Linked DNA regions of Xenopus tropicalis. The protein of the gene in region 2 purifies or fractionates together with the protein of the main gene of each other region. This does not show direct contact. Links are inferred from orthologs where the notes say so. Each region holds a gene or a part of one and is shown on either strand. Other genes may lie near its edges. The genes, in order: exoc2, exoc6, exoc3 and exoc1.

What was found.
Region 1: the proteins of exoc6 (region 2) and exoc2 purify together in Homo sapiens (affinity purification with mass spectrometry; 5 studies listed by BioGRID and IntAct, counting the BioPlex papers as one, with this or other methods). This does not show direct contact. The link is inferred for Xenopus tropicalis from reciprocal best matches to the Homo sapiens genes EXOC6 and EXOC2.
Region 3: the proteins of exoc6 (region 2) and exoc3 purify together in Homo sapiens (affinity purification with mass spectrometry; 6 studies listed by BioGRID and IntAct, counting the BioPlex papers as one, with this or other methods). This does not show direct contact. The link is inferred for Xenopus tropicalis from reciprocal best matches to the Homo sapiens genes EXOC6 and EXOC3.
Region 4: the proteins of exoc6 (region 2) and exoc1 purify together in Homo sapiens (affinity purification with mass spectrometry; 4 studies listed by BioGRID and IntAct, counting the BioPlex papers as one, with this or other methods). This does not show direct contact. The link is inferred for Xenopus tropicalis from reciprocal best matches to the Homo sapiens genes EXOC6 and EXOC1.

The regions. Positions count from the first base shown.
Region 1 is NC_030682.2:87,069,929-87,075,747, reverse strand, and holds the start of exoc2 (exocyst complex component 2), read right to left. Parts: upstream 3,703-5,819; 5' UTR 3,594-3,702; exon of another isoform or gene 3,554-3,593; intron 1-3,553. UniProt on the Homo sapiens protein: Component of the exocyst complex involved in the docking of exocytic vesicles with fusion sites on the plasma membrane.
Region 2 is NC_030683.2:25,434,968-25,440,321, reverse strand, and holds part of exoc6 (exocyst complex component 6), read left to right. Parts: intron 1-1,637; coding exon 1,638-1,721; intron 1,722-1,817; coding exon 1,818-1,864; intron 1,865-2,659; coding exon 2,660-2,780; intron 2,781-4,156; coding exon 4,157-4,228; intron 4,229-5,354. UniProt on the Homo sapiens protein: Component of the exocyst complex involved in the docking of exocytic vesicles with fusion sites on the plasma membrane.
Region 3 is NC_030682.2:69,102,211-69,107,564, reverse strand, and holds part of exoc3 (exocyst complex component 3), read left to right. Parts: coding exon 1-27; intron 28-3,320; coding exon 3,321-3,446; intron 3,447-4,443; coding exon 4,444-4,544; intron 4,545-5,354. UniProt on the Homo sapiens protein: Component of the exocyst complex involved in the docking of exocytic vesicles with fusion sites on the plasma membrane.
Region 4 is NC_030677.2:40,658,589-40,663,942, forward strand, and holds part of exoc1 (exocyst complex component 1), read left to right. Parts: intron 1-867; coding exon 868-1,027; intron 1,028-2,272; coding exon 2,273-2,293; intron 2,294-4,347; coding exon 4,348-4,535; intron 4,536-5,354.

The DNA.
Region 1 (5,819 bases), on a different chromosome or scaffold from region 2:
TAATTGAGATCTATCAGTCTGGTAAAGGTTATAAAGCCATTTCTAAAGCTTTGGGACTCCAGCGAACCACAGTGAGAGCCATTATCCACAAATGGCAAAAACATGAAACAGTGGTGAACCTTCCCAGGAGTGGCCGGCCGACCAAAATTACCCCAAGAGCGCAGAGACAACTCATCCGAGAGGCCACAAAAGACCCCAGGACAACATCTAAAGAACTGCAGGCCTCACTTGACTCAATTAAGGTCAGTGTTCACGACTCCACCATAAGAAAGAGACTGGGCAAAAACGGCCTGCATGGCAGATTTCCAAGGCGCAAACCACTTTTAAGCAAAAAGAACAATATGGCTCGTCTCAATTTTGCTAAAAAACATCTCAATGATTGCCAAGACTTTTGAGAAAATACCTTGTGGACCGACGAGACAAAAGTTGAACTTTTTGGAAGGTGCGTGCCCTGTTACATCTGGCGTAAAAGTAACACAGCATTTCAGAAAAAGAACATCATACCAACAGTAAAATATGGTGGTGGTAGTGTGATGGTCTGGGGTTGTTTTGCTGCTTCAGGACCTGGAAGGCTTGCTGTGATAAATGGAACCATGAATTCTACTGTCTACCAAAAAATCCTGAAGGAGAATGTCCGGCCATCTGTTCGTCAACTCAAGCTGAAGCGATCTTGGGTGCTGCAGCAGGACAATGACCCAAAACACACCAGCAAATCCACCTCTGAATGGCTGAAGAAAAACAAAATGAAGACTTTGGAGTGGCCTAGTCAAAGTCCTGACCTGAATCCTATTGAGATGTTGTGGCATGACCTTAAAAAGGCGGTTCATGCTAGAAAACCCTCAAATAAAGCTGAATTACAACAATTCTGCAAAGATGAATGGGCCAAAATTCCTCCAGAGCGCTGTAAAAGACTCGTTGCAAGTTATCGCAAACGCTTGATTGCAGTTATTGCTGCTAAGGGTGGCCCAACCAGTTATTAGGTTCAGGGGGCAATTACTTTTTCACACAGGGCCATGTAGGTTTGGATTTTTTTTCTCCCTAAATAATAAAAACCCTCATTTAAAAACTGCATTTTGTGTTCACTTGTGTTATCTTTGACTAATAGTTAAATGTGTTTGATGATCAGAAACATTTTGTGTGACAAACCTGCAAAAGAATAAGAAATCAGGAAGGGGGCAAATAGTTTTTCACACCACTGTATATATATATATATATATATATATATATTTATTACACACACACACAAACTATTTAAGGGGGTACTATCACTATAAAAGCTGGAAAGCTGCAGAAGATGAAGGCAAATTATTAAAAAAAACAAAAAACTAACAAATAATTTAGATCAATTGCAAAGTTGCAAGGAATAGGGCATTCTATACCATATTAAAAGCTAACTTAAAGGTGAACGACCCCTTTAAAATATTCCCCTTACCATCACAGCCACCTAGTTAAAGCTTCTGCACCATACACTTGTATATTACTTTGTAAGAGATACACTCAAAACACACAAACTGCTGTGTACAGTGAAGTCTGTATGTTATATGCTACACCCACACAGCTAACAGTTTGGCCAATCAATCACTGACTGCACTAAAAATTAAAGAAGGAAAGGTAAAAACTAAGTAAGCATTATCATAAAGGTCTATGTAAATACAGCCATAAGCACTTACAGAAACGCTACACTGAGTTCTCTTTCAAAAGAAACACAGGATTTCTAGTCTTTGTTTTCCTGTGCCAGAGACACGCAGCTCTCTCCTCTCTCCTGCTCCCGCCTCCCTCAAGAATGCTAAGAACTCCCTCCCCCCCATAGGAATGTGGATCTGAGCCAATCAGCAGGAAGCTTCCTCATAGGTCTTACACACTAAGCATGTACACCAATCTTGGTGCAGGAGCAAGGCATTATGGGAAGTTAGCAAGCGCACAAAGACTGAAGAGGAGACACTCGCTCGCAGCTACCCCGGGCTGGTGCACTTTTCTTCTCACAGGAGCACCAGCCTGGGGTAAAAGGTAAGCGATTAAAGTCACTGGGGGTGCCTAACATTTTGGCACCCCCCAGTGAGTTAGCCTTTCCTTCTCCTTTAAATTAAGACATCTATACCTGTCATGAACTAAGTCCAAAATCTCAGCTGTCAATTATATTTGCCTCAGGCATACAGGTGGGACAGGCAGTCACTTTATATTCTGCATTTCCTAGATGTCACTGCACTCCTCTCATTCCCCCTACCTCCCCCATGGTCCATAACTGTATGCTGTGCATATGCAGGGCCCTCCCCCCTAGAACATTGGTAGTGAGGGGTTACGTTTTGCATTGGTAGCCAGGGGTTACGTTTTGCATTGGTAGCCAGGGCAGGGACCCCCTAAAACATTGCTGGTCCTCCCCCAGCGTCCCCATACTATGGGCCACTGCCCACTGCAGCATCCTCCCCAACATCATCCTTCAGCTCCCCCCAGCGTCCTCCCCAACATCCTTCAGCTCCCCCCAGCGTCCTCCCCAACATCCTCCAGCTCCTCTCAGCATCCTCCCCAACATCTTCCAGCTCACCCCAGCGTACTCCCCAACATCAATCAACTCCTCCCAGCATACTCCCCAACATCAATCAACTCCTCCCAGCATACTCCCCAACATCAATCAGCTCCCCCCAGCATACTCCCCAACATCAATCAGCTCCCCCCAGCATACTCCCCAACATCAATCAGCTCCCCCCAGCATACTCCCCAACATCAATCAGCTCCCCCCAGCATACTCCCCAACATCAATCAGCTCCCCCCAGCATACTCCCCAACATCAATCAGCTCCCCCCAGCATACTCCCCAACATCAATCAGCTCCCCCCAGCATACTCCCCAACATCAATCAGCTCCCCCCAGCATACTCCCCAACATCTTCCAGCTCACCCCAGCGTACTCCCCAACATCAATCAACTCCTCCCAGCATACTCCCCAACATCAATCAGCTCCCCCAGCATACTCCCCAACATCAATCAGCTCCCCCCAGCATACTCCCCAACATCAATCAGCTCCCCCCAGCATACTCCCCAACATCAATCAGCTCCCCCCAGCATACTCCCCAACATCAATCAGCTCCCCCCAGCATACTCCCCAACATCAATCAGCTCCCCCAGCGTACTCCCCAACATCAATCAGCTCCCCCCAGCGTACTCCCCAACATCTTCCAGCTCCCCCCAGCATACTCCCCAACATCAATCAGCTCCCCCCAGCATACTCCCCAACATCAATCAGCTCCCCCCAGCATACTCCCCAACATCAATCAGCTCCCCCCAGCATACTCCCCAACATCAATCAGCTCCTCCCAGCGTACTCCCCAACATCTTCCAGCTCACCCCAGCATACTCCCCAACATCTTCCAGCTCCCCCCAGCATACTCCCCAACATCAATCAGCTCCCCCCAGCATACTCCCCAACATCAATCAGCTCCCCCAGCATACTCCCCAACATCAATCAGCTCCCCCCAGCATACTCCCCAACAACTTCCAGCTCACCCCTGCGTACTCCCCAACATCCTTCAGCTCCCCCCAGCGTCCTCCCCAACATACTCCAACTCCCCCGCAATGTTCTCCCCCACCGCTCGCCTACTTCTTCCGGCTGCGTCCGCCTGTTTTCCCCCGGCTGCCTCCCCCGTCTCTTCTTACGTTCCCCGGCTCGCCGCTGCAGCTACTCTATGATAAGGTTGCGCCCCGTGCGTGCTGACGTCACGCGTACGCACGGGGCGCAACCAATCAAATTACCCGCTGACCACCAATGCACTAAGGCCTGGAACTCTTTAAAGGGGGCCCGTGCTTATAACTGTATCGCGGCCGGGCCCGGGACAACTGTGCCCCCCTGATGGCGGCCCTGCATACAACTTTTACATTGTTACTGTGTACTCAGCTGTAGCCCCTAATTCCTATGGTTTATGGATCACACAAATTTTTTTTTGTATGTGACATTAAAAATAACTCACACTGCCACGTCTGACAGAGTCTATGCAATGATTAGTGAGTTTTTTTTTTATATATAAGATCCTCCATTCAGAACCCGCTTGAACTAGCCAAGTGAAGCACAGGAGTGAAGGTGGGACAATTGTAAAGCACTCTTTTAACCTCAGAGGAGAAAATGAATGGCATGTCAGCTGAAGTGCATCAATCTTTTTATTGCATGGAATGGGCCTCTGTAAATATGGGGCCCACAAGAGGGGTCATTTAAGTCTTTTACCACCTGCCAGCTGCTGCCTTGGTCCCGACACTTGCTGCTGATGCCTACATCATACTATCACAGCCTGCCCTAAAAGTGATGAGCCTAACTGTGGGGGGAATGATTTTTAACGCCGTGTCAGTCCCTGCTGGTGGTTAATATTAGGGTTGTCTGTAGCAATTTTGTGATGGGGTGAATTTCAGGCTTAATGGGTCACAGTACCAATTTATACTAGGGTATTATTTGTTGCTGAGGCTTATTGTACCATTTTATGTGGGTTTAATGTGCCCTTTAATGAGTGCTGTAAAAGGTTTCCTCGTGTATAAATGTTGAGGATTATTCTGGCCTATATCAATCTATTGTGCTACTAAACCTGTATAAATTTTTTTTGTAGTCTTGTATGTATGTATGTATGTAAAACTTTATTTAGAAAGCGCTACAAGGATACACAGGGCTGTACAATTTTACAACAGAGAAACTTACACACAGGGAGGACAACTATTATAATAAATACAATAAATAAGTGTAAATACGCAGTGCCATGTGGTATCATTTACGGTAGGAAGGAGGTCTCTGTCCCGTAGAGCTTACACTCTATGGGGCTGATTTACTAACCCACGAATCCGACCCGAATTGGAAAAGTTCCGACTTGAAAACGAACATTTTGCGATTTTTTCGGATTCTGTACGAATTTTTCGTTACCAATACGATTTTTGCGTAAAAACGCGAGTTTTTCGTATCCATTACGAAAGTTGCGTAAAAAGTTGCGCATTTTTTGTAGCGTTAAAACTTACGCGAAAAGTTGCGCATTTTTCGTAGCGTTAAAACTTAACGCTACGAAAAATGCGCAACTTTTCGCGTAAGTTTTAACGCTACGAAAAATGCGCAACTTTTTACGCAACTTTCGTAATGGATAGGAAAACTCGCGTTTTTACGCAAAAATCGTATTGGTAACGAAAAATTCGTAAAGAATCCGAAAAAATCGCAAAACATACGAAAAAATCGCAAAATACCGATCATTACGAAAAAAACGCAATCGGACTCCATTCGACCCGTTCGTGGGTAAGTAAATCAGCCCCTAAGTGCATGTATAAATATTTTTGGGTCCCACTGATCACTGAATCTCCTGTATTAGAGCACTGTGCTAATCTGCACATACTTAAGGCACATACTGCCAGTGGTACACCTGTTCAGTTTCTGGTCTTTGAGGTTGTAGCAGTGCTGTGCCAGTGTATGTACCAGGCATACTGAGACTCTCTTTCATCTGGTATGGTAGGAAGGCTAATGTACAATCTCAGCCTGGCACTTATAGGCCAGTAAGTGTGACATCCGTGATGGACAAATTATTTAAAGGCTTGCTAAAGGATCACATACAAAATTATGTACTAGAAAATGGCATTATGAGCAGTAATTGGCATGGTTTTATGAAGGATAGATCATTTCAGACCAATTGAATAGCTTTTTATGATGAGGTGTAACGATACCTGATGGTCTAGTGGGGCAGCGGGGACGCCCGCGCGTCCTCCATTGCAGGGACCCCCGTCATCCTCTTTTAGACGCGCGCTGCCTTTTGACGCGCATGCGCGTTCGCAGATGCACGCGATCGCGTCCGTCGTTATATAAGGCCCT
Region 2 (5,354 bases):
CAAGTGAAATGTCTTTGATTGCAGTCAAAACTTTTCTAATAGTCAAGGACATTTTCCTGACAGTGAGTTACATGCTGTGTAGCAGCAACCTTTTATACCCATGAGCCATATTTAAATGGAAAAAGTGTTGGGGAGCAACACAAGCATGAGAAAGGTTCCTGGGGGTGCCAATACAGGTTTAGTTGTCTACTTAATAGCCCCTATGTGGACTGGCAGCCTACAGAAGGCTCTGTTTGGCATTATACTTGTTTTTTTGCAACCTAAACTTGCCTCCTTACCTTAATAAAAAAATAGGCACCTACTTTGAGGCCACCGGGAGCAACATGCATAGGGTTGGTGAGCAACATGTTGCTCACGAGCCACTGGTTGGGGAACAATGCTGTATAGTATTACTTATTGTCAAGGAGGAAGCTGACTAGAGATAAGACAGGACAGGTCAGGGCCAGACTGGAAATCTGTTGGTTCTGGCAAATACCCAAGGGCCTGCTGTAAGATGCCATAGGCAGTTACTATTTAGTGGGCTGGTGGAGGGCTATTTGGGCCTCTGTGTACTTAAAAAGTCAGGGCCTATTTTGAATCCGAGTCCAGACCTGGAATAGATTCTTGGCCAACAGGGGTATTTTGAGGCAGGAAAGGCAGACAGTAGGCACTGTTATACACAGGGTAAAAGGGCGGGTGATGAGCTAACAAGCTTAAGTCCAGGCAATGGGCCAGGGCAGACAGAGATCAGACAGGATCAGCTAGAGACTAAAGTCTTTAACAGAGATCAAATAGAATATACAATGGGCAGCAGGAAGATATACCATCAAACTGGTACCAACCATTAGTGTCCATGGCACTTTAAAGGTTTTTTTCCATGCCTCCTGAAATCCAGAGCCCATCCCCCCATTAGTGCCAAACTGGCAGACACACCACTAAGATAAAAGACCATCATTCATAGTGGTGTTTTCCAGTTCTGGTCACACACAAATAGATCATAGGAATGGCACACCAGTTATAGCAGACATGTGCTCCTGAACTAGCTCCAGGGTCAAATACAGCAACTTACAACACCTAAGCAGCACTCCATTAAAATAGTCTTTATCCATGCTTAATGGCAATGTACTGAAAAAGAGCAATACTATGGGCTCTTTGCACCCTTTCTCAAGCATGTTTGTCCAATGCGTTCCTCCACACATCCACAGAGGAATAAAGGGCACATTAGATTGTGTAACAAAAGCAACAACAAAGTACAACTACAACCTGTGCAGGATTTAAATAGTTACATGACTAGTCTAAAAACATCATTGGCAATATTATATGTCTTAATTAGAGTAGACTCCTTCTAAATACATTTATATGAATGTGATTCTACCCTATTTCATGTAAGCTATAATGTTTGTCCCTTTCTCTTGACATTACCATAGCAGGAGTCAGATTTTAGCAATAGACTGCCTTCAGAATTCATTTTCAGCGGGAGTTCTGATCAGTTTAAGTAAGAATTGTGGTTTAATCAAATTATAACTAGTATCAAATTATCATTTTCTTGGCTCCTTATCAGCCTGAGAGCGATAAGCTGCAGCCTCAGATCATATTTAGGCGAATTGCTCTTTAGCATCTGGGGAACATTAACGTCTCTCTCTGTGGTTACGTTTTAGGGTGATAAAGAAGTATTTGAAAACTACTACAGAAAGCAGAGAAGAAAACAAGCGAGATTAGTCCTGCAGCCCCAGTCCACCATGGTAAACTGATTTTCTTTCAGAGAATATTGTTCTTGACTGTCCACAACTTGATATGTATTAATATATGTGTGTCTTTTTTGTGCTCTGTTTTAAAAGCATGAAACTGTTGAAGGTTACAGAAAATATTTCAGTCAGATTGCAGGGTGAGTATTTTAATGCATTGTGAATTTTCACCATGTTTTATATTGATATTCTTTTCAAGATTGAAGGCATATAGAGAGTTTCAGTTGGTGCCGTCTTGTGAAGAAGATCTGCCGTATTCACTTCCACAATATCAAGTGCAATATCTATGCAATATCTATTGATTGTTTGCTGTGGGCCTAAATCCTAGCTATATTGCCAGCTACTACTCCGGATCTTTGGGGCTCTCATTTATGGGAATCTTAGATGGGTCTTCTAGATGATGCTAGTCAGTGTTTGCAGGTCTAGAACAGGGTGGTGGTTTATTTAAAATACGTTATGGAATCCAACAGTAGGTCCCAACCCTTTAGTCTCAACCAGCCCCTAGCAAGGTCAGACACTTGGTTACATATTACAAAATGCTGGGAGTTGTACTTTGGGGACAGGTTGGGTACCATTGAGTTAGCATCAAGTGGTGAAATTTCTCATGGGTTTTGATCATCATATGGAAATCATTCTATAGAAATGAAATGCCCCAGCTGAGTAAGTGAACCACACAACATTCTTTCCCTTGTGGGTTCCCTGTTGTTGGTGCCCATCTCTGCTCTGCCCAAAGACTGCCCCTGTCAGGGCTTATTAAATGAAATGGCAACGTTTCTTAATGCCTTCCACAATAAAAGATCAGCCTTGCTTTACCCATAAAATTTCACCCAAATGTACAGATACGCCAACCATGAATATTCTTAGAATGATGTTATTGAATGTGAAATCTACTGACACATTAATTTGAATAAACAGTTTTTTCCCCTTTATTTCAGATTTTTTGTTGTGGAAGATCATATTTTACATGTAACACAAGGGCTCGTCACTGGCTCTTACACCACCGAACTATGGAATATGGCGCAGTCGAAGATCATAGCTGTCCTTCGAACGCACTCGGTAAGAAAGGCAGAATTCTGACCTGGTGGGGTTATGTAATGACTGAAAGGTACATACATGCAACTCCCAGCATCCTTCAGCAGTCAGGGCTTGTGTTCTAGTGCTACCAGGGCTTTTGTGTTCCCGGGAGGTTCAAGCTGTGAGCCACAGCTGAGGGCTATCTGCATAATCCTTCTCTGATTTACAAGTTACTGGGTCCTTACAGCATAGTGTAGTACTTTAGAATATGCATAGTTAATCTGCTGTTATTAAGGCTATCTGTCCTCATTAGCCTCAACTGGCCTTCATTAGATCAAACTGAATAGGTCAGCACTCAGACTGCCACCAGGAAATGGTTTCAGATGATTGCGCCAGATACCCTGTTCCCAAAATAAACTTTTTCTGGTTTATTCACTGAAATGGGAAGTTCCCCTTAAACGTAACTTCTGGGATGATGCAGGCAGTGATAATCGAAGAGAGATAAGACCTTTCAGGACCAGTTTATTATGGGTGAATTATTTGCTGTACAGAAATATATAAATACAAATCTGTTACAATACACTGAAAACTTACTGTGCCTTCTTTACAAAGGCCCTGAATCCAAATGCTAGAATGTTGAGGGGTGCAAAATCGAGTCTTTAAGGGCCTTATTTACAAAGTGCAGGGTAAAGTACAAAAAGTGGACTCATGTTTGTGCTTCAGAATGGAGAATGAATAGCCATACTTCCTCCATGAATACAGAGCTGCCAGTGTTTGTTAGGTGCAGAGTGCTAAGGATCCCTTATGCCCTATGTGCTCCATTCTGGACATACTGGGTTAAAATCCCACTTTACTTGCACTGCCCCCTCACTGCATGGATAGGTGAGACCTAAGAGGCCTATTGATGAAATACAGACTTATATAACTTTCATGTATACACGCAGACTCATACACAGTGACCCTGCAAAGATGCCATAGTGCGGTAGCAAACTGTAACTAATACTTTATCTTGGTCTAATGCAGTTAAAATAATGAAAGCAACATGACAATTATGTGGGTAAATGAAAGCAACTAACTGAGTATTCTCTTGAGCAGCTCACAGCTTATATGTATGCATACAGAGCCACTTTTCAGCAGAAGCTGGAGAGCTATGGGTCACATCATAAATAATAGATCCCCCCACAGGGGGTATTTTTGTCACTCCAAGTAAAACTGTGCACTTATACACAGCATGCAGTGAGAATCTCTTGGTCATAGAAAAAAGTTATCATTAAAACCTCTGTGATATTATCTGCAGACCTGGGTATCAGATCAGAGCCCAATATCTCAGCACATCTTTCCTCACCAGTCGATTTAGCACAAGGTGCAGCTTTTAAGCACAGTTTGTAATACACTTAACAAATCTCATTTCTTTGTAGTCGTATTGCACTGACCCCGATCTTGTCCTGGAGCTTAAGAACCTGATTGTTGTGTTTGCTGATACTATGCAGGTAAGTGTTATCTGGGATCTTCCAGTTCAGTCTAATTAGATTCGCCAGGCCTTGGATGCCAGATGAAAGAAGAAACATTTCATTGTGCTCAGTTCTGTCAGATATAAAATAAGTTTATTTTCTACTGTAGGAATATGCCAGGTGAACAGTTTTATATATATATATATATATATCATGGGATTCGGTCTCCTACAAACAAAAAGCAGGGATGCAGGTTTTTTTTTTTTATGTATAAATTCTGCAGGACATTTTAGGTTTATTTTTTAATTCTATTAAGCAACTTTAGATTCAGCCACCAGCTGCATTTATCAGTCCCTTAGGGGCACATTTACTAACCCACGAACGGGCCGAATGCGTCCGATTGCGTTTTTTTCGTAATGATCGGTATTTTGCGATTTTTTTTGGAAAATTGTCGCGACTTTTTCGTTACTAATACGATTTGTGCGAAAAAACGCGAGTTTTTCGTAGCCATTCCGAAAGTTGCGCAAAATCTGGCGATTTTTCGTAGCGTTAAAACTTGCGCGAAACGTCGCACCTTTTAAGTTTTAACGCTACGAAAAAGGCGCAACTTTTCGCGCAAGTTTTAACGCTACGAAAAAATCGCCAGATTTTGCGCAACTTTCGGAATGGCTACGAAAAACTCACGTTTTTTCGCGCAAAACGTATTGGTAACGAAAAAGTCGCGACAATTTCCGAAAAGTCGTAAAGTCGCAAAATGTTCGTTTTCAAATTGGAATTTTTCCAATTCAGTTCTGATTCGTGTCTTAGTAAATGTGCCCCTTAGTGTAGCTCTGGAACAGATCTGGTGTTGGGGTGCAGCATGAACAGAACACCTGCAGCCCATGAGAAAAATCTGTATAGGTCATGTACTTGCAGGTAGCATTTTAAGGTGGCATATACCCAGACTTCACCACCCTCCAAAAGTTGCACATTAGCTTTGGTAAGGTCGTAGTAATGCCAATTCTGCACAAACTATACAGTGCAAATGTGTAGGGCTACTGTACCCCTGTTTCTCCTTTTGCTTTTCATTCTTTTCCTCTTCTTTTCCCAACTGCATGTGTCATTCTTCCTCTTTTTGTGTTTTTTTATCTTCTGTGTCCATCTTCCTTTTTCCCATTGTCTTTTT
Region 3 (5,354 bases), on a different chromosome or scaffold from region 2:
CTCCATAAATACATGGCAACTCTCAGAGTAAGCAGATGTTGTCTTCTTTTATATCTTTTTAGTCTGTGTATAAAGGGGACCTGAGGACCTAAGAAATAATTCAAAATTCTTTTCTCTTGTGTTTGTTAAGCAAAAAAACCTTCACTTACACTATAAAATATATATAATATATATACATAAATATTTTTTCTTTCAGTCCTGGAATTACACAATCACAGCAAATAGGCAGGTGCCATTTTGTGGACAAGCTTATTAAGGCAAGCTTTGTATCACCCCGAAATCTTGTGTATGTGCCAGAATGGGGGCCTGATGCCCAGGCCCATGCACTGGCTACACAATTAGATGGTCAGGTGGGAGGGGGAAAGTAAGCTGAACTGGAAGTTAAAGTAATTGTCTGCCCCGCCTCTATGCCTAAGGCATAGAGGCGGGGCAAGCAATATATGATAGACAGCTGGGATTTTTAAATGCCTACAGCTTTTTATGTCTGGGTGACAGGTCCACTTTGGAAGTGTTGCCAAAATGACTTCTTAGCACATTGTTTAAAGTGGACCTGTCACCCAAATAGTCCTCAAAAGTATAAGGCATTTGAAACTTTTCTTTACTTTTCTTTATTTTTAGATTTAAATGTTTTGTACTCATCATCCTCTGTTATTTGGGGGGATGTTCTTTTTTACATTTAATCTAAATCTATCATTTAGTAATACTGCAATACTAAATGTGTCCATTTTAGTTTTATTATGTATAAACAACTGTACTACCTGCCTGTCACTGTAATAATGTATATTGGATGCCAGTGCCCGCTTATCTCACTGTACATAATGTCCTGGGATTACACTACCAGTACTCTTACTCTATTGATCAAGCCTAGCATGACTCATTCCTATACAGAAGGAAGGCTAGACTCGATCAATCGATCGCTGCATAGTGGACGCTTCCCCTGATACTTCACCTGCATTGCCGTATCGCCTTTCTTCAAATGACCGGAAGGCAACTTTTAACAGGTATTTTGTACTACAGCATTCAAAATAATAAATGGTTTGTAGGATAGGGCAATTATTGGGGCAGGGTAGAATAGATTTTTTAGTTAAAAATTTTTAGTGTTACTTTTCCTTTAAAGTGGATGTGGCATTTAAAAGTAGGCGTGGGCAAACTGCTGTGGTGAGCTATGTCCAACATAACTCCTCTGGAGGGACAATGTATTGTGTACAGCCTTGTGCACAAGAATCACTTAATCTGCCCTTGCTGCTCTCTTGTCATGATACATTGGTGAGCAGCTTTGTACCAGTAATGTATATACAGGCATTATACAGGTTTTCAGGAATTTTTAGGCTCCACACAGTTGTCTGATTGGATCGCACAGCACTATATAAATGACTGATTGATTTCACTCTTTGAGCTTGGAGAATAAAGGAAAACTTTAATAAGGAGCTGCTTCAGTCTGTAGCTGTTTACATCTATATATACATTGCTTGAACCTGGCAGACAAACGGAATCCCCTGAGAGTGGAGTGCGGTAGAAAAATTGTGATAAAAAGATAGGTGACGGCAAGAAAGAAATAAGAATAAAACTTAAATTGCACTGGAAATGAAAACAAATAGACAACAGGAGAGAAATCATGAATGAGGAGGACAGCAAGGTAGAGAAGGGAAAATTGAAAAATAAAATACATTGAATAATATGGGAAGTGTTAAAGTGAAGCAACTTTATATTACACATTAACCCTTTTGCTGCCAACCGATTTGGTCACTTGTGGTATTTATATTGCCAGGCACTTTTGAAACATTTTACACTCTTTCACTTTAGGGGCCTTTTCTAGGGGGACCTTTAGTTTATCCAGGAAAATGATATATTATTTTTTAGGACAAGATAATCTTTCACAGTATTTTAGAATTTTAGTGTAATTTCACTTTTATAACACAAAAAAAGGCTTTTAAATGTAATATAATGTAAAATATAATTTTCCATAATATAAAAGCTTATATCAAAAACATAATTTAATTTATGCACTAAAATGCATCTGATTTGCAAAGTCATATATCTTCTGTACAATTGTATAGGTCACCAAATCCCAGTAGTACACTACCAATTTTCTAAAGCACTGCTTCAGAAATCTGCATATTCAAGGGTAAAAATTCCACCAACAGCAAACCCTAGCAAACTATACATTTTTGGAAAGGGCAGGTTCTGATGAATCCAAAGAGGCAAATATCCCTTTCTACTCCAAACTACCAAGTTGCATTGGTTTACTAAAATTATCGTTATCATTGTATCTCCTACAAGTCATTAAGTAACAGGATAAAACACCATAAATAAGAATGGCAGTCATCCTGTGAACAGTTTGATGTCCACTGTGTATAAAAGATGTGGCATGTAGGGACCCTGGGATAAAGATACTTCATGGGGAACATTTACTAATCCACGAACGCTCCGAGCATTCGTTTGACTTTTTTGTCGCTTGTGCAAATTTTTCGTACCTTCCGCAACTTTTTCGTACTTGCAACAAATTTGTGCTTCAAAATCGTATTGTTGCACCGAGTACGAAAGTTTCGGATTCATTCAAGCTTCGTTATCGTGACTTTCCTTGGGCCAGGTTGGAGCTGCAGAGTGCCATTGATTCCTATGGGAGGCTTCCAAAATCATGCACAGAAGGATCAAAGTCGGAAAGGTTTTCCTGCATTTTACGAAAATTTTGTGACTTTCAGATTGCCAATATGATTTTTTCGTAAGCATATTTGCGATCTTAAGAAATTATCGTATCCAATCGGAATTTATACCATTTGGGAACTTGTGATTTCATGAATCTGGCCCCATGTGTTGTATTAATTTACAGAAAGCCATATATTTTTGGAAAGTACACATTTCTTCAAATTCAAAATGGGTACACATCTTTCCACTCCAAACAACCAAACTGCAAAGCTTTCCTAAAGTTGGCAATTTTGAAGACGTTTCCAAAAACCACCTCAAAGCTTCCAATTTGCAACATCTTATCTCCCACATATCATTAGGTACCAAGATAAAACATCTTAAATATAAACTCCAAAGGGCCACTGAACAGTTTCATGCCCAGTGTCCCAATTGATTTACTGTACTCTCCCTACGTTTGTGTTGTCATTGGCTGTTATGTTGCTATATTTACCATAAATATATTTTCATATGTAAGCAAACATTATCTTTGCATAGATGCTTGCCATATGTCTTTGATATATGACATATAAAATATTAACAGGCCATTTCTGTTTACCATTGCTTTTACTATAGCTGAGCTTGTGTTTTTGTGCATTGCGTGTGTGATTTAACCCTTGGTATGCTTTTAAATGCAGTCTAACATCATTGCCTGGTTAAGAAAAGCACTTGAGACTGACAAAAAGGATTGGGACAAGAATACTGAGCCTGAAGCTGACCAAGATGGGTACTTCCAGACTACATTGCCTGCCATTGTTTTCCAGGTAAGAAACCACTACTGTGTTGAGTATATACGCGTTTTTCATTCTCACATTCAGCTTCATTTGATCGTAGAAATTAAAAACCGATTTTAATTGCAAGGTTAAAAACATGTTGGATGGAACTAGGAATACAACAACAATGCATTCAGCAAAATTTGTCTGCATGCTGTTTATAATTTTGCCTTAAAAGTATTTGCCCGATGCTTTTACTTTACTTATCTGATTCCCGGTGTTCCTGTATGAGGGGGGCTGCCATATTTGTGCAGCAGTAGTTAGCATTAGAAACTATTATTGACAGGTTGAGAAGTGACAGTCAGGTTGGTAAGAATCAGGTTTAGGAACTTTGAGTAACAATTACTTACAAAAGCAGCCCTATCAGCCAAAAATGATTTTTGTGGCAACAGTTTTATCACTATAATGAGGTCTGTAAAGAATGTGTTTTCTAAGATGGTAAAATTGCTCTGCACACAACCAACACTTGTGGAATGAACACCAGCTGCAAGCCATGCCTGATCAATGCCATCAGAGGCCAACCACCCTAATGCTCTTTTGGATGAATAGAAGAAAATGTTACCAATTATGTTCCAGTGTCTAGTGGAAAGCTTTCCAAAAAGAGCATATTTTTAGGAAAATAGTTTCATCTGATTCAGTTACAATATTAGCAACAGTTGTATATAATCAACCTGATTGCAAAATATTTCTAACAATATTTGAAAATATAATTTTAAAAAAATCACATGAGTTCGTTCATACCCAGAGGGAAGACATTAGGAATTTACGTAAAACCCACAAATGAAACTAAACAGGCTGATGTTCAGTATCTTGGTATGCAAGAACATTCAGTAAGGGCTCTGTTGTATTATGGTCAGTTCTAAAGGATATATGAAGTTCACATTGGGGCAGAGAACCATAATATAACTGGCAACATTTTGCAACTATTGATTATCCAGTGCTGTTATGTTCTGCCTTCTATGTAATTTTTTTTTTTTTTTTTTTTCAGATGTTTGAGCAGAATCTGCAGGTTGCTGCACAGATTAGTGATGATTTAAAAAAGAAAGTCCTTCATTTGTGCCTCCAACAGATGAATACTTTTCTAAATAGGTATAAAAAGACATTGTTTCACATAATTCTGACACAAGCTGTTTTGTGTTGTTTGCTTGCCTTCTATTTTGTATTTTCACTTATAAGGTATCAAGGTAGTTTATTGAAGTGAAGTCTACCATTTTAGCTCCAAGTCCCAAGACTTTCTCAAAGTGCAGAAATAAAATACTCAAATCCATGAAAACAGTCTGGTGTAAAAACACCTGTTAAACTTAGCTTAAAGTAGTATTTTGGCCTGATTTATGAAAAATTCCCAAACAAGTCCCAGCAAGTCTGCCAACTGTTCCATAGTGCAGCAAGGCTAACATGATAGGGAACTGAATCCTGTCTTTGCTTGTTTTACTGCAGGACTGTGCTTGGCTGTTCCCCTCCTCCTGTGCTTCTGGCAGGGACCATAGGACATGCCCACCCCTCATTTTAAAAACTGCCAGGGACTGTAGCAGGTTTAATTTATACTTAATTTATATTTCCACAAAATATTGTTCTTTAACAACAGTAATAGGGTGTTTCTCCAAGAACCCAATCAATGCAGTGCCATTTTACAACAGACAATAACATTTAAAGAAGATGTATAATTTATTTGAAGCAAATTTTTCTCTTATGCCTCACCTAATATGGGGCCTTTGTGACAAGCAGATCATGTTAATAAAAATGCATGTTAGACAAAGTACAATATACAGTGTATATGTATATATATATATATATATATATATATATATAATATAGTGTGTGTACATTTATAATTTAGAACTACTTATAAAAGTGTACACTGAAATTTTTGCAGACAAATCATACATCCGTTAGTGCTCT
Region 4 (5,354 bases), on a different chromosome or scaffold from region 2:
TTCCAAACTGCAGAAAGCCGCAGAACAAAAAGAGAGCTCAGGAACCTCAAAAATATAACATTGAATGCCAGTTGCAAATTGTCTCAATGTCATTAAGGCTCATTTACATCTGCAACTGCATCTCTGGCTGCAGGAAAAAAAGTTGCAGTAGTTGCATGAATCAGCGCCATTTAGTAATGATATTTGCAACCAAAGCTGCTCCTTGCACTTCCAGATAATTGGGCTCACTGTCACTGCATCTGTCCTCCTGTTGTGAATTGTATGCAAGTGCTCCTATTGACAGAAGGAAGATACTGCCACCTCAAAAGTGTTCCTACAGCAGTTTACGTAAGCAGACGCAGCATACTTGAACTTAAAGAATCAGATGTCATTTTAAACACCGAAGATTTTCTCGGCAACTGCGTCTGATTTGCGATTTGTGTTTTAATTTATTGGAATAATTACACACCACACTTGCACTCAAAAATGAGCCCTACTATTTACATTATACTAACTACCGCTTAAAAGTATTTTGATGTTGTGGATTTCATTATCACAGTAAAGAAACATTATTATGCTCAAATGTAAATTGATTTGTTGATTCACACTTTGGTTTGCAGTGATTCTCGCTGATCAATTTTTATTGTTCTTGTAAAATCATTTTGCCCTTTTTGCTAATGTGCTTTACTTTCTTCCATGATGACTTCTTAAGTATGGGCATAAAACTCCAGACAGCACATTGTCATCCATTATAATTCATTCAAGTTAAACTCCAGTACTCCACGTTTATATTTACTGACCTAATAAATAGCAACAGGTCAGTTCTGCAGAGCACTGCATGTTGTGCGGGTTTTTTATTTTACAACATTTTTTTTACCTATTCTGCAGGAAAACCCTGATTTTGATTTGCATTTTGACAAAGTGTACAAATGGGTAGCAAGCAGCATTGCTGAGAAGAATGCATTCATTTCTTGCCTCTGGAAGCTGAATCAAAGATATCTGCGGAAGAAAATTGACTTTGCCAATGTAAGCTCCCAGCTATTGGAAGGTAAGCCTTAAAGTATGGCTGGGATACAGCTTATGGTTGCTCTTTTTAATAAAAGTTTTTTTTTTTTAATTCAACGGTTTTGCAGAGTTAAAAAAAACACTCATCATTTTCATGCAAAGCAGAAGGAATTTTGGGTTATTATCGCTCCTAAATTTTTATTTTCATGAAATACCCTATAGGCAAAGCTCCCCTACTGGGTTTTAAACCCTCTGTTCATTTGTATGCAAAGCAGAAAGAATTCTGGGTAAGAAATCTGGTATTTGTATACATTTTACCTTTCTTATGGCATGCTCTACTATAGGTTTTAGATCTTCCACTCACAGAGACTCTTTATAATGATATTTGTAGTTTACAGACTGTGCCCATGGCTTGTAAAATGAGTAATTATGTGAACATGAAAGATGCAAGTAAAACAAATCTTAGCTTTTCAAATATGTGTGGGAGTTGTTCCAGAGTTTAAGTACTTTGTCTCTGATTTTGGGCCTGACAACTTAATTCATGCAAAGAACAGGGCTTGCAGAGTCTGAGACAGTTCTGCAAGTGCTGCTGGGCCCTTTTGGACAATAATGATGAATTATGATCTGGTACAAGTTTATACAGGCAGGCCCCCGTTCCCGTGACCAATAAGACTCAGAGGCCATTGCGCAAAGATGAGTCAAAAAGCAGAGCAGCAGAGATCACTTTGCAGTTTATGATAATGTTGTTTGAATGTTGCATTTGGTCTTTCTAGTCAGTTACTTTGTATGATTTTGGTGTAGAGAAAGATATTAATTCCTTTTAGATGTCAAGTAAATTAATTAATCATTACATTGCCTTTTACCTATACTAAGCAACCAAATGCAGTGGAATGAGTTAAGATGGATGTGCTCAGAACCTTACCCAGACTGATGCCATTGCTGATATTCTGGGCAATTTAGCAGTGATAAAGAAATGGGTGTATGTGGAAACCATAACATTTAGAGCTAAAGTACAATGCAAGCATCATCAAACAGGAACATTCTCAATCATCATTAACAGGGGTGAATGAAAACAGGAGGCGTTTTCAGATAGGACTAAGTATTATTCTGCATTTACCCAATTTTAATGATTGCATGTTAATACCTAGAGTGCTTTGTCCTGTGTGTGAGAGCTATAGCCAATCAATATAACTGTTTCCAAATGTCTTTTGAGAACATTGCCTGTCTTGCTTTAATACTCTCTTGCTTACTGTCCTCTGCTCTTTTTTCCATACTTATTACTCTCCAGAACTGCCTAAAGTTGCTGAAGGTGGGTGTCATGATTTATTTATACATGTTCCTATACTAATACAGATCAACTGGAGTCAGATTTTTTTTTAGAAACAGGATGAAGTGGGATTTATTCATATACAGTATTACTATATAATAATGCCCTCTGATTTGCTATGGAATCTTTGGATTTTAAAATCCTCTTAGCATGCTGTATACCTTTACAAATGAGAGTTCATGGAGAAAATATTCCTTTAGTTTATACTGGAAGTATAGTTTTACCTTATGTCTAAAGAGATATTATATCCACTTTTAAATATTGGCTCAATTAACAGGGCTTGGGCTGAACATACTTTTAGCTTATTGTTCTAGTTATGATATATCTGGTTTTTAACAATTATTTTTAAATTAAACGGATAAAATTTAAATTAAATTAAAGCCACATTCTGCTTCCTGATAAAAAGACAGACCAATCAGCAGTCCATTGAGAAGCTTCTGTATAAATGAATCCCTTCCTTTCCCCAGCTACAGCCTGTTATGTTTTTAGATAAAGAGCAGATCGTTATACAGATGCTTCTTATTGGGCATACATATTTACTAATTAAATCTAAAGGCATCAAGTATCAAAAGGCATCAAGCTCTATTCATTGAGCCAGTGTTGATTAAGGTAATAGGCACTGCAATGTTGCTTTTTTTTTTTTGCTGCCTAGAATAAGAATGCTGAAGTAGAGTCTTTAGAGAATGCCTTAGCTGAGGCAAGCAATATGGCAGTATGTCACAGCTTATTTACAAGGCTGCTGCACTAACCTGACTTCCACTGTTGTCAGTGTTATTAAACGTGATAATGCCACTGTGCACTTTTTAAATAGGAACATGCTTAGGTTCATCCCTTATGATGCTATTATAATCTTATGCTCAGGTTGATGTAAAGTAGTTGGAAGTACCCGGTATGAATTTACAGTGCCCCCAAATAAGGGGGGAAGGAAGAGAAGGATTTGTTCTTTACATTTTAATTTATATGGTATCTGGCATTTGTTTTCCAGTAATTTGCAATAATAATGAGGGGCGCATTACTAATGTAAGCCAGTGTTCTTTTGTGGCTACTTTGTAAATAGCATGCACTTTGCAGAATGTACAAACCAAATTAGTTAAGCAGCGCACATCCTTATTAGGGATTTATAGTATATTCAACTTGTTTCTGTACTTCAGAAATTCTGGTTTATAAAATGATAGGAATTACTATTAACAGGAGTGAGAGAAATCAAATCTTGATGTTTTCCTTAGACTGAAGATTATTAGGTCAGCGTTTCTTTTCTTTTCCTTTGCCTGCCTTTCTGACAGCTTTCTGTTTTCTTTGATCCATTTTCTCTGAAAAGTATTTAATACGTTTTAGAATCCACCTTTGAAATTAGACACATTAAATGCCAAGTCACATTTACAGGGGATCATTGTATTCATTCAAGTCATTGTATTCTAAGAACAAATGGTCTTTTTTGGTTATTTTTCCATTTTAATCTGTTGTTTTGTTGCACAACTTTCCACGTGGCATTTAAGCTATCTGGTTGCTTGGTTCCAACTTAACCTAGCAACCAGGCATTGGTTTTAATGACACAAGATGATGAATAGGGGAATGGCATTTTAAAGCTTAAGTTAGAAAAAGTCTGAATAGTACAGGTATAGGACCCATTATCCAGAATGCTCGGGTCCAAGGGTATTCCGGATAAGGGATCTTTCCGTAATTTGGATCTCCATACCTTAAGTCTACTAAAGAATCAATAAAACATGAATTAAACCCTATGGGATTGTTTTGCATCCAATAAGGATTATTTATATCTTAGTTGGGATCAATTACAAGGTACTGTTTTATTACTACAGAGAAAAAGGAAATCAGTTTTAAAATTCTGAATTATTTGATTAAAATGGAGTCTTTGGGAGACGGGCATTGCTTAATTCTGGGTAACGGGTTTTCGGATAAGGGATCCCATACCTGTACTGCGGATTATAAAAAAAAATACCTTTGGAGAAGGGCAATTAGTTTTGTGTCCATAAGAATATAAATAGTAATCCATGTTTTTTCACTGTCACTTCTTAAAGAATCTGTCCCTAGTGGGGAAAACCAGAGTGTGACTGGGGGAGATGAAGAAGCAGCAGCTGAGTACCAGGAGCTAAATGCCAGAGAGAAGCAAGACATTGAGATTATGATGGAGGGCTGTGAATATGCCATCTCCAATGCAGAGGCTTTTGCAGAGAAATTATCCAGAGAGCTTCAGGTTTTGGATGGGGTAAGACCAAGTGATGACTATGATGCTAACCCTCTGGGATGTATAACCCACATGACTTATCCACTGTTAAACAACAAAGTAGATAATGTATAAACTCACTCTAAATATGGCCGATAGCAAAAAAAACTTGGCAAACCGTTTGTGTACCAAATGTAGAAGTAGAAAAAGCTAGCACCGTCCACACTAACCATACACGTTCAAAAAATAATAACTGTCTATACTCTCACATTGAGATTAGATGGAATAGAGTAGAAGTACTGGGGTAACGTGCAACTGAAGTAAAATTATGTAAAGAAAAAGAGAAAAACAGGGAGACACGCTAGCAGGTGGTCCCTGTATAGACTTCAGAGCTTTGCACCGTTAATCCCAGGAAAAGGTAATGATTATTAACAGGTAATTCACTTGATCAAAATAGGATAGGAAATTAAAACTTAACCTTTATTAATCAAACTTAAAAGGTGAAGTATATCTTAAAGAAATCCCCATTAAAAATCGCCTGGGGTGATGTTCAATAACAATAAGAACTATGAGGTAGTGTAAGGCTGCTCAGAGTAAACCTGTCTGATTAAATTCGCTAAATTGTTGCAGTTTGAAAGATAACTTTTGTATCGAAATTCTCTGCTTAAACAGCCCTGTGAAGGCAGTCAGGGAGAGATTGTGATAAACCTGCAACAATTGTTACGAAAATGTTGCCATATAAGGAGAACTCAGATCGGGTTTCCTTATAATCTAAAGTCACTGCTTAGCAGAGTAGGGGATTCGAACCCCGTTATAACTGAAATGAGGTGCAGATCTCTTTTAGCTTAGGGCTGAAATTCA